Rhinolophus ferrumequinum: one gene and its partners. The protein of the gene in region 3 interacts with the protein of the main gene of each other region in a pairwise test. Links are inferred from orthologs where the notes say so. Each region holds a gene or a part of one and is shown on either strand. Other genes may lie near its edges.

Region 1 (3,745 bases), on a different chromosome or scaffold from region 3:
CATCTCTGGACCTGTCTCTCTCCAGTTTACCTTCATCACTCCCAAATTCTTGTATTTCCTATTCTTTTCCCAGCACCAGTCACCCCCACACTCTCTTCCAGAAATCCCATCCTCCTATATATGTCTCCATTTTTTTCAATTTCTTCCCCTCCTATGATCCCAAACTTCCATCCTGTTTCTCTCATAATTGTCTCCCCAAACTATCCCCCTACATGTCTGCCACAGACCCTGTCACCTCAAGCTTCTTTCATCTCTCCTTGTCACACCTCATTGCCCCTAAAGCCCCCATGTAAAGCCATCTTTCCAATCTCACCCCATTACCCCAATCTCGGCCACATACCCACAAACTCCCACCTCACCTCTCCCACAGACCCTTTTGCCCCCTAACTTCTCCTGCCTCCCCCATATCTGCCCTTAAAACCCACAGCCCCTCCTATCTAGCCCTCTCCCGCTCCAGGCCAGCGGGCTCCCCACATTCCGCCTCCGCGAACCCCTCCCCGCGCCCCGGGCCCCCTCGGCCTTGGTCTCGGCCAACTCGCACAGCGCCTCCCCCTCTCCGATCCCCCTCTCTCCCCCCTCGCAGCTTGCCTGGCGCTCCCTCCCTCGCGTCTCCCTCCAGGCCCCTCTCTCCTCGTTCCTCCGCGCTCCCTCCTTCTCCCTCTTCCTCCCTTCTCCCATCCCCCTCTCCCAGGCTCCCTCCCTTCGCCGGCCGCTTTCCTGTGCGAGTCGCCGGACGCGCCGCCCAGCCCTTCGCAGCCCCGCGTCGGGCCGGGGCCTGGGGCCGGGACCCATTACTGGGGACCACTGGCCTCGGGGAGGGGCTAGCAGGGGGCGAGGGAGACGACCGCCCGGGAAGGGGCGGGGGCCGCGGGCGGAGGCCGCTTAAGGGGCCGGGAATCGCTCGAGTGCGGGCCGCGCGGGGCCGGCGCGGGCAGCGGGCGGGAGGCGGCGGGCAGAGGCGAGCGGAGGGCCGGCGGAGCCGCGGGGGCGAGTGGAGCGGCGCCGGCGGGCGGCGCGGCCCGTGCATTCCGGGCGGCCGGGGGGAGGTGGCGGGCCTTGGGAGGGGCTGAGCGAGAGCCGGGATCGGGATTTGTTCCGGGGCCGGCGGGCGATCGGGACCAGGTGGGGGGAGGAAGGGGGATGGGGCCTGCCCTCCGAGGGGGTCGAGGCCGCCGCCGCCGCCGTCGCGGCGGCGACTGAAGCCGGGAAGAGGAGAGGGGGGCGGGGAGCGGCCGCCGCCGCCCCCCGGAGGCACCGGAGCCCGGAATCGCGCTCGGAGCCAGCCAGTGGTCCGGAGCTACTAGCAGGTAAGATCTGCCGCCGCCCGGGCTTTGGGCTTCCCGGGGTTCGGGCCCGCGGCTCCCCACCCCCACCTTCTCTCTGTTGCCCCTCCCGCCGCCGCCGCCTCCATTTGTTATTTTCTCGATCCGGTCCCCCCACTGCGGGCACTGTCTGGCCTGAGGCTGGGGGCTCGGGGTGGGGCCCGACCCCAAAGAGGAATGGGGGCCAGGGCACCCAGAGGATCGGGCAGGTGGGGGTAGGTGGGAGGGTCTCAGGAGGAGGGCTGATGGGTCAAGAGGGTAGCTAGGACCCTGGGACCAAAGAGGAACACGGAGGGGGAGGATTGGCAGAGGAAAAACGGGGGATGCCCGCGAGGGAGCTTCGGGGCGAAAGCAAAAAGGAATGGAGAGATGGCAACGAGGTGGGGAATGAGGGCTCCAGGAAAAGCCCCAAAGGCCCAGAACCTGGGTTGCAGAGCCCAGGGTTGGGAGTGCTAGTTATGGAGGAAAGTGGGAAATGGGGAAGGGGTGTGGTAGATGGGAAGGGAGGGCTTGTAGCTGATGAGGGAAGAGAATGGAACCTGGGGAAACAGGCTGGGAAAGGGCCAAAGAGAGGTCCACCTTTGAGAAGACCCCAAGGTGTTCCCGGGTTGAAGTGGGAAGGCAATGCTTTTGTGACTCAGTTTTCCTTCCTCTACTCCAGGTCACCTCTGGTCTCTTTTTCCCCAATTTCAGACATAGTTACTTCTTGGAGAAGGAGTACACTGGGGCCCAGTAGTGTGGGTTCTCCTAAAACTAATGAGGAGGGAGGAACACTGAAGGGAGAGTTAAGGAGAAAGGGTTTCTGGGAGGGTGGAAACAGAGGAGAGAATTGGGTAATCTTATAGGCACTCCAGACAAGTTGTCACCTCCACGTTCAAACCCGCAGAGCACCCACTGACCCTCTAGCTGTGGTTTCCTGGGGGTGGGGGTGTCTTCATTGCTGTTTAGAGCTCAAAAGATTTCCATTTGTACATGGGTTTATTTCTATTGGGGTAGGTATTTTTAAGCTCTCTTCTCTGAGGGTACTGTAAGGAGGGTAGGAGTTGCTTTGGCAACTGGAGGGAGAGTGGCTGGCAGATGGACCCCTGGGATAGACTCTTGAGGGGCAGGTTCTGCCATTTCGTTACCATGGCAATGATCCAGTGGGATGTCCAATAGGTGGAGGTTCAGAATCTTGATTGGACCTCAGCCTTTGGCTATGTCCTTGGGACTCTTGTCTGGGTTCTGGAGGATGTTTCTGGTGCTGCTGGTGGATAGGTTACCTAGGGAGTCCACCCCTTCCCATCTAACAGTCTGTTGGACATAGATGTGTTACTTGCCTGTCATCATGTTTCTCCAAGTTCCTTCCCCAGGCATGGTGGGATCATGGAAATGCTCTATTCAAGTTATACCATGTTTTGGTAGTTCGTTCTGACTCTATCACCCTTATTATTAAGGGTCTTTTTATGTACAGTAGTCGTTTTGCTTCTTTGCACTGGTAGTCTTCCATTTTCTTAAACTTGAGTCTCCTTTTCCCAGTCAACCTTTTCTTCTTTCACCAGAGTGACCCCTTCCCTCAGCTAACCTTTGACCTATATCCCTGACCTTGTAGAATGGCTGGGCTTTCCAAGCCCATACCAGGTGAAGGAGGCCCAGGGGAGAGGGCTGTGGAACAGCTTGGTGCAATGGAAATGCTCTGGAGATCTGGGTCTAGTCCTGGCTGTACCTCTAACTGTGACCTTGGGCAAGTCACTCCTGTTTCTTTGATCCTCAGCTTCACTGTAAGATGAAGGGGTTATAGATGATTTCTAAGGCCCCTCTGACAATCCTGGATTCCTTGGAGGTTTAGGCCAGTGCATTGTTACCTGCTGGTCTGGGCTGCACTGTTATCTAGGAATCTCTTTGGACTGGTTGTTAGTCTGGCAGGTCCGGAATGATGAGGAAGGATGGGCCAATGATCCTGAAATTCACCCTTCAAGCCCTTCCCAGAAAAGCCTTGTGCTTCTATTGTATTCCCTCTGACATCCTTCTCATATTTCTCCCTTAATTTTTTTTCCTGTTCTTACTTAGAGACACTTTTCCTATTTCTTACTTTTCCACTTCCCCAATCTGGTCTTATCATTTTCCTTTTGCAGTAAGGCAATGAAGGTGAATGTGCTTAGTGTGTTGCCAGACACATAGTAGGTGCTCTATAAATGTTAGTTACAGTGACTGGCTACTAGGGCAAGATGGAGTGTAGCTCAGTTTGCTAGTGCTAAAACATGCCCCTGGTTCAGACACATAAATACAACCCTAACATCTTTGCTGCCCCTGCCCCTCCTTACCACAGGATTACCTACCCATTTATGACTGCTTTTTCTCCTTCAAAGCTACTCATTGCTTATTTTATCAGATTTCAGCTGATTAAAAAAGTTGGGTGGGGGAGGAGCACACTAGGATTGCTC
Region 2 (3,745 bases), on a different chromosome or scaffold from region 3:
TTTATTTTGCATAAATATTTGTACCTTTGCACAAAGGTGCTTATAGCACCACTATTTGTAAAAAAGAAAATGCATAAACAACCTACATGTACAAAGCTGGAGATGAGTTACGTAAATAATGGAATAGGCTATATTCTCTTAGCATGGGGAGAGGTACCGTCATTCCTTGCCCCCTCTTCCTGGGGCCCCCGTACCTTAAGAACAAAGCAGCAGCGAAGGAAGAGACCGTGCCAGTTTACCTACCCACACCCAGGAGACTGGAGGGTACCTGGTTTTTGACGGGAGTGACGTATCCCTTCTTTCGATAATCGATCGAAGCTGGGACTTTGCCTTCCCAGTCTGGGATGTAGAGGGTGTCGTTACTGCGGGAACGAGATGGGGGTACTTTGAGTCCAGTCATCTGCTGAACCACCTCTTCACTGGTCTGGGACAAAGAAGAAAGAGGCCAGGCCTAAGCAGCGACCTGAGGCCAACAGGGCAGGTAAGCCAGGTGTGGAGGCTCAACTCACCATGTCCCCCAAGTGGTTCATGGCCAGTTCATAGCTATGGACGCCAAGGGAGGCCTCAAGGTTATGGATGGAAATGTGCTTCAGGTTTTTTTCCCAAATTAAACGCCGAGAGGTTTCATCCACCTAAAGAGACCACAGTCAGTACTGGCCTACACTGCGTGCGGTATACAAAGTCACATGATGTAATACTGTGGAGGTTTTTAGGAGAAAAGATTCAAGTTCCAGGGATAGAGTTTACCGTCTAGTTGGGCAAATGACCACGGGATTATTAAGAGCGTGCAAAAAGAAACATGAACAAATAATTGAATGCAAAGCTCTGGAGAGATGGATAGAAAAGTTGCTTATGGATTATCAGCATTCATCTGAGAAATCGTCCCAAAGGAAAGAGAGAAGGCAGTTGTAACAAAAAGGAAGGATAGGACTTGATGGAGGGTAAGTCGAGGCGTAGGAATGAAAACCACATGTTAACAGTTAGGGGACGGGGGCAGGGTTGCTTGGCTGGGGTGGTGAAAGTATTTGGACAGAAGCAGGGAGCCTGGAGGTCTCAGGGTTCCCCCCCTCAGTGCTCCCCTCCGGGTCCTCGGCACCTTGCTATTATACTGCCTCCTGTAGGTCTTCTTCCACAGCTCCCATTGCGTGTCCAGTATCTCCTCGGGGGTTAGAGCAAAGCTCGCCAGGGGCAGCAGCAGAAGAACCTTGAGCCCCCACATCCTGGGAAGAGGACAATTAGAGGAGACTCTTCTATTTGCCAAGGAGTTCCTAGCCTGGCTTAGGATGAGGAGATAGCTACCTGGAGACATAGTCCCAGACAGGTGGTTCTTCACCTTTGGGAGCCATAGACTCCTCTGAGAAGCTAATAGTTTTGCAACCCACTATAAACCCTCTCACCAGAAAAATGCATGCACACACAGTCATTCTGGGGAGTTCCAGAACCTGAAGTGCAGAACCCCTTCCTCTGCTGTATGAGGCTTTATGAGGAAGGTAGACAGAGAACAGTGGTGGTCAGGAGGGGTCTGGGATTGGATGGGGTGCTGATATACCTGGTTCCTAGTCATTTGACCTAGGGAGACTCAGGGCACTCGCGCGTGCGTGCACGCACGCACACACACACACACACACACACACACACACACAACTTCCACAGACAACTAGAAACAGGGTAGAAAATGGACCATCAGCATGGGCTCAGCATTTGTCTCGGTGCCCCCAGCAGCCTTGGAAGAGACGGACAAGGTAAGTGCAAGGGGGATGAAGGAGGTTGGAGAACACACAGAGGAGAGATTTCCAGCTAAGTTCTGCACCCTGACCACTTCTGTCAGGCATTCTTCTCTTCAGTGGCTAAATTCTTTCACTTTTCCAGAGCTTAGCAGGAGTCGACAAGGGCAAAGTTGACCATATTTCCTATTTTCTAACTGAGAGAATGGATTTCCTGTTTCCTCAACATTCTTAGCAGTTCTTCTTTCTCTTCTGGTTCCCTCCTCAGGCAGGAAACTGTCCTAATCTCGACCAGCTGCTGTGGGAAGGTTTTTGGTGGTTTTTTTTTCTCTGACAACAAAAAATCTCTGTGACCGCCTCCCAGGCCAAAAAGCCTCAGAACCAAAGTTTGTTAAAAGAACATAAGACAGAAAAGCAACGTTCTATGACCATTAAATACACAGCTTTATAGAAGTTTGGTCTAGCGTCGCTCACTTCTTGCAGTGGCTTACTTATGTGCCCTCCATTTTAAGAACAATTTATAGTCTTGCATAACTTTTGAATTTATAGTCCATTTTTGTGTGCTCTTTGCAAACTGGCAAATAACCAGCAGGACATTTACTATTTGGATTGTTAGGGGCTTTGAGACGTCACAGATTAGGAAGTACTGAGCTACCGTCTCCCTGCACCACTCCACCTCCCCCCACCACAAGTTAACCCTTTTCGTACCTTTGGCCAAAACAGAAAACCCCACAAAGAGGTCCCCCTTTGAAGGATGGGTAAAGGATCCCCTGTACTCTTGGCTTTCACTAGTAACCACGTATACATACAAATCACAAATGCTTTAGAAGAAATCCTAAAAATTTCCAGGCAGATTGTATACGGCCAGGAAATGACCTAAGGGCATCATTTTCATCCACGCAGCCTTTTGAACCCCAAGTCACTACACCCCTAACACTTCTACGATGCAGAATTGGCAGGAACGAAAAGCTAAATGTACTAGGAAGTCGAAAAAACGTTACCTGCTGGCTGGGATCTGTTCTCTGGGCTCGTTTCTGCAGGGAACTGTGGATAATGTGAGCGGATGACTAGGGGTGCTGGATTTATTCCATTGGAATTGCGGAAGTCAGCTCCAGCTGTTGGTCGGAAAAATTGGATGGGAAAGAAGGGAGGGTAGAAATGCTGAGAAGGGGGCACGGGGGAGAGGAGGAGGTAGTGGATTTGCATGTTTCTGCATGGAGGGTTGCTTTTTTTTCAGTTTCACATTGCCTCTTTCTGAGGGCAGACCAAAAAATAGTAAAAAAAAAAAAATCCCCCAAATTACATTACTTAAGTTGGGGATTATCTTCTCTTTAGTAGCTAGAGGGACACACTTCTGGTCTCCCCCATCCTTCTTTATTAATTATATTGGGGGATCACATGTTTTCCTGATCTTTCCATCACCGTCTCTTTGAAACTTGTTTTGTATTTGTCTCTGACGTTCCCACCAGAGGAGAGGGAATAAACACAGAAGGCTAGGAAAGAGTCGTAAGGGAAGTCAGAGGTTCCAAAAGCATCTGTATTTTATAAGCTTGTTGGCTAAGTCGTTGCTGCTTCATGGAGGGTATTAGCTCTCCCAGCCAAACATGGTTTTGCTGAGGAAGCATGTGCCCAGAAGGTCCAGATGAAACCGGTTCTAAAAGTAACCCAAAGCAGTATTCCTGGGAATTTCTGACAGCACATGAATCAATGGCATAAGCACTGACAAGCTCACACGTGACATCCCTTACTAAGCTCTCAGGTGGTGGGATGCCTGATGAAGAGTGCCTGGCTGTTACTAAAACCCCCAGCCCAGGTCATCTGAGCTTCTCCACATACTTCCCACATACTTCCCCCAACACCCAGGCATGTGACAGATCATGAGTCTAGCTCAGTCCCCAAACCACACCCCCAAACTCCATTTTCTTCCATAACCAGATGTGGGGCAAGAGGAAAAGAGGGTCCTTGGAGCAGGAATACATGGGCTCTGGATTCAGTTTCTGGCAGGATTACACACGTATTCC
Region 3 (3,745 bases):
TGGCAGACATGTTTGATAACCTTTACCAGCTAACGGCATCTTTTCAAGTATGTGTCTGAAACCCATTAGTTCCAGATCTCGAACTCTTGGTGACCTCAGGCAAGTAAAACTTGGAGGTCTCAGGTGAGTCCTTATGTATTTTGGAATATGCGGTATCTGTGATACACATAAGGTACCCACCTCTTAATCTAGACAAAAGCCCTGTGAGGTTGGAAATACTGTCCTGGTTTTACAGCGGAGCAGGCAGTGAGGACTGGTTGGAATCCGAGCGTAGGTGGCTCCTCACACGTCTACCTCTACTTCCTGACTCACTTGGTGAGAGGTTTGTCCACGGCCTGATGGTTTGCAGACCGTGCTGTAAGGCTCTGTACGGCCCTTTGCAAGTTTGGGGGGAAAAATGAATTGTTTTTCTTTGCTTCAGGCATCAGTAATCTCCTTGACTTGTTTATACATTTGGGTGCTGTCTTAATTATTTGGAGAGTTTTTCTGCCTAAAATATTTGAAGTCACCTGCCCTAGAAACCTGAGACCTGTCTAGAATGAATATGTATTAGAAAATAAAAATGTAGGTAATAGTAATTTATATTTGTCAGTAGACTGTTTTCAATTATATTTCTAATCCTAATGATGTTTTATATAGCCTAATAGTAAAATAAGGTGAGGTGGCTGAACACTTAATTAATAGCGTGGGAAGTGATTCGATTTAGAATTTGCTGCTGGCAGTGGGTGATCTACAGTCTCCTGCGCGGGGTTCAGACCCCACTGCCTCCCAGCTCTTGCTGCCTTTACAGGCTGCCTACGGGTGATGTAATGACAGGTTACACCTCAGCATGCTCATGGAGGCCCTGGGCTTTATGGGGCAAGGGTGATGCTTATTTAAAAACAAAACAAGCAGCTCGCTTTAATGAGGCCTTTGGCTTTCCCAGAGTGGGAAGAGAAGATGGTCTCCGCGTGGAGGCTGAGGCCGGAGTTGCATATGGTTCTGTGTGTTTACTGCTCTCCCTGCAGTCTCTTGGAAGGGAGGGGAGTCTAGAATGTGGTCCTGTCGGGTGGAAATGGAGAAGTGAGAACTGAGGAACTATGGTCGCTGCCGCCTGGTAAGCACGTCGTTGCTGGGAGAAGCCCAGCGCAGTCTTTTACTCTAGAAGACCTCGGGGTTCCAAGGGTTAACCTGGGAGGGCTGTGCAGTGCAGATAAGGGCTGGGGCTGGCCGCGCGTTTCCCGGGCTCTCGGGAGCTCTGAGTTTGCAGCCACACGAAGTGACCGATTCCAGTTACGGTTCCGAGCGTTTGGCCTCTAGAAACCCGGCCTGTTTGGCCCTAGATGTTAGCTGGTGGCGAGGCCGAGGGTAAGGGGCTCGGCCCCGCCAGGTCGCAGCTGTGCGACCCGGGGGCGGGGCTTGTGGGCGCCCCCTCCCTCCCCCTTCCCCTCCCCCTCCCCTCGGGGGTGCTGGGAGCCTGGGCGCTCGCACTCGGGTGGAGACTCGGGTGGAGCCGCCTGTCCCAGTGGCGGCGCCACCCGGCCCGGCCTGGCCTGGCCCTGGGCTCCCCGGGGCTTCCGCGCGGCGACTCCAGAGCCAGCCCGCGAGCGCGCCGCCTTGTCCGGGGCCGCCACCGCGCACCTCTGGCCCCGGCCGCCCTCCCGACAGCCAGCCAGAGCCTGGCTCGGGCATCGGGGTAGACAGACTGCCGGTCCCGGGCAGTCGAGGGCCCGGCGGCCCAGCGCGGCCATGGCGCGCGGTTCTGGAGACGCAGGCGAATTGGAGCTCGGGGAGGTGTGGTCCGCTCGCCCTGGGACGGGCGGGTCTTCTCGTCTCTTCTGGTCTCTGCCTTCTGCCTCGGCGGCCCAGGCCTCTGAGCAGGGAACGGAGGGGCGGGAGCCGGGCGCCTCCCTTCGCTTCTTGACAACTTGACCGTGACGTGTTCAGGAACAGAAACTATTCCGAGGGGCCTCTGCTCCAGACTTGCTTCTGGGGGGAGGGCCGCGCGCTGCTGGCTTCTCATGACCGGGAAGTGTACCTTGCCTTTTCTGTACGCCTGGAAGGGCGTCTTACTCACCTGTTTACCGGCCGCTCGGACCAGGAAGAGGAAAGGTACTGGCGTTTCAGGGACTGGGAACCGGGGCGCTGTAAGCCGGTGGGGGCTGGCGGCCAGGGACGCGCTGCAGCAGCGCCAGGGGCCTCGCCGCGCTGTTTCTGTGGCTCTGCTGTACTTTGCTGTTTAAAGCAAACTTCAGCTTACGCAGCGCTGCTGCACAGGTGTCCTGAGTCCTGGCTTCCGCTCCGCTGCAGGGCTGCTGTGCGCCTGGGATTGTCTTGTGTTTGCAGGTGGAGCTGGGTCTCACCTTCGGCGCTTCGGGAGGCTCCAGCTGCTGCTACCCTGTGGCCGCATTTCACTTAGTTTGAGTAGGAATTTAAATTGTGCTTCCTACAATGTTTGGAAAAATAATAAAGACATATTGTAACATGAACCCGAACTATTGATGATGATGAATGTATAACTATTTTGCTAGGCCTAGAAATTCAACAGTAGTGTTTTTCTTGCTTGGTAGTCACATTATGTTGCATACAAACTGAGTTTACTGACCCTCGCTGTGACTGATCAGCCCTGTTGGTTTAGTGGTTTGAAAGGCATTGGTGGCTTCGACTGTTTTGGGCACTTTCCAATATTGCTGTCACTTAAGTGAGCAGCCTGACGTGGGCCAGGAAGGCATGTGGCACGTACAGGGCATTTTCACAATGCTAAGCCCGTTCTTTCCCACGGGACCCAAAACTCGTGGCCCAGCATGTGCACCTAGAATCTCCTCAGGGAAACTTGGTGAACAGGAGAGCTGCTTCTGAGCCCTTTTGTTGGGCTAGGACACCTGGTTATAGAGCATCAGATGACAGCTGATTCCTGCTGTCCTAAATCTGTGTGACGGGCCACATCAGGGTGGAATTCTGCTATGCTTTTGTTTCCCCTTGAACTTGAACTGTTCCTGTAGTGGCATGGAATTAATCTTTTCTGGCACCCTCACCCCCCATTTAAGGTATCTATTCTTGAGTAATATAACCCAAGTTGCATTTACATGGTCATATTGGTAACCAGCATTGTTTTTTCAACATTATATTCTTTGCAACAGAATGTAATGATTATAGCTGAGAAAACATTAAATTTGAGGCACTGAATTTAATTTTGTTAAAATATGGCTTCTATAGTTATTGGGAGTACATACACGCTTAGACCATCAGTAGATGTTTTGTCACTCCAAGCCAAAGGTAGACTCCTGGGGAAAAGTTCTATCTTTCATTCCACTCTAATGCGTCTTTTGGAGCAAAAATTAATATAAGACTGGGTCTTTTACTATATTATATAAGACCCGGTCTTATAGTAAAATAAGACCGGGTCTCATATTAATTTTTGCACCAAGTGACGCATTAGAGCTGATTGTCTGGCTAGGTCTTATTTTCGGGGAAACATGGTAGTTACATTGTTCGTTTCTTCCAGATGACATTTATCTCTTAAATGTTTATTTATCACTGTGCTGTTGAATGTTTCAGCGGCAGTGGTGAGCCCTGGGGTACGTCGTGCCAGCTGACTGAACCCCCATCCGCAGCGCTGTGTCTCTCTTTCTGGTGCTTTTATCTTTGTTCTTTATTTGCCTTCTCTTCCTGACTCCTTTCCCTTTGCAGATTATGTCTGATTTATATTGTGGAGTGGAAGTAGGATAGAAAGATTTATTTTCTGTAAATACCAGACTAAAATGGA

The links.
Region 1: the proteins of SIAH1 (region 3) and ATN1 interact in a two-hybrid assay, tested with the Homo sapiens proteins (2 studies listed by BioGRID and IntAct). The link is inferred for Rhinolophus ferrumequinum from reciprocal best matches to the Homo sapiens genes SIAH1 and ATN1.
Region 2: the proteins of SIAH1 (region 3) and CTSK interact in a two-hybrid assay, tested with the Homo sapiens proteins (2 studies listed by BioGRID). The link is inferred for Rhinolophus ferrumequinum from reciprocal best matches to the Homo sapiens genes SIAH1 and CTSK.

The regions. Positions count from the first base shown.
Region 1 is NC_046293.1:24,077,704-24,081,448, forward strand, and holds the start of ATN1 (atrophin-1), read left to right. Parts: upstream 1-1,123; 5' UTR 1,124-1,307; intron 1,308-3,745. UniProt on the Homo sapiens protein: Transcriptional corepressor. Recruits NR2E1 to repress transcription. Promotes vascular smooth cell (VSMC) migration and orientation. Corepressor of MTG8 transcriptional repression.
Region 2 is NC_046305.1:50,976,902-50,980,646, forward strand, and holds the start of CTSK (cathepsin K), read right to left. Parts: upstream 2,881-3,745; 5' UTR 2,726-2,880; intron 1,221-2,725; 5' UTR 1,220-1,220; coding exon 1,097-1,219; intron 633-1,096; coding exon 510-632; intron 425-509; coding exon 269-424; intron 1-268. UniProt on the Homo sapiens protein: Thiol protease involved in osteoclastic bone resorption and may participate partially in the disorder of bone remodeling. Displays potent endoprotease activity against fibrinogen at acid pH. May play an important role in extracellular matrix degradation.
Region 3 is NC_046298.1:3,727,152-3,730,896, reverse strand, and holds the start of SIAH1 (E3 ubiquitin-protein ligase SIAH1), read left to right. Parts: upstream 1-1,477; 5' UTR 1,478-2,000; coding exon 2,001-2,091; intron 2,092-3,745. UniProt on the Homo sapiens protein: E3 ubiquitin-protein ligase that mediates ubiquitination and subsequent proteasomal degradation of target proteins.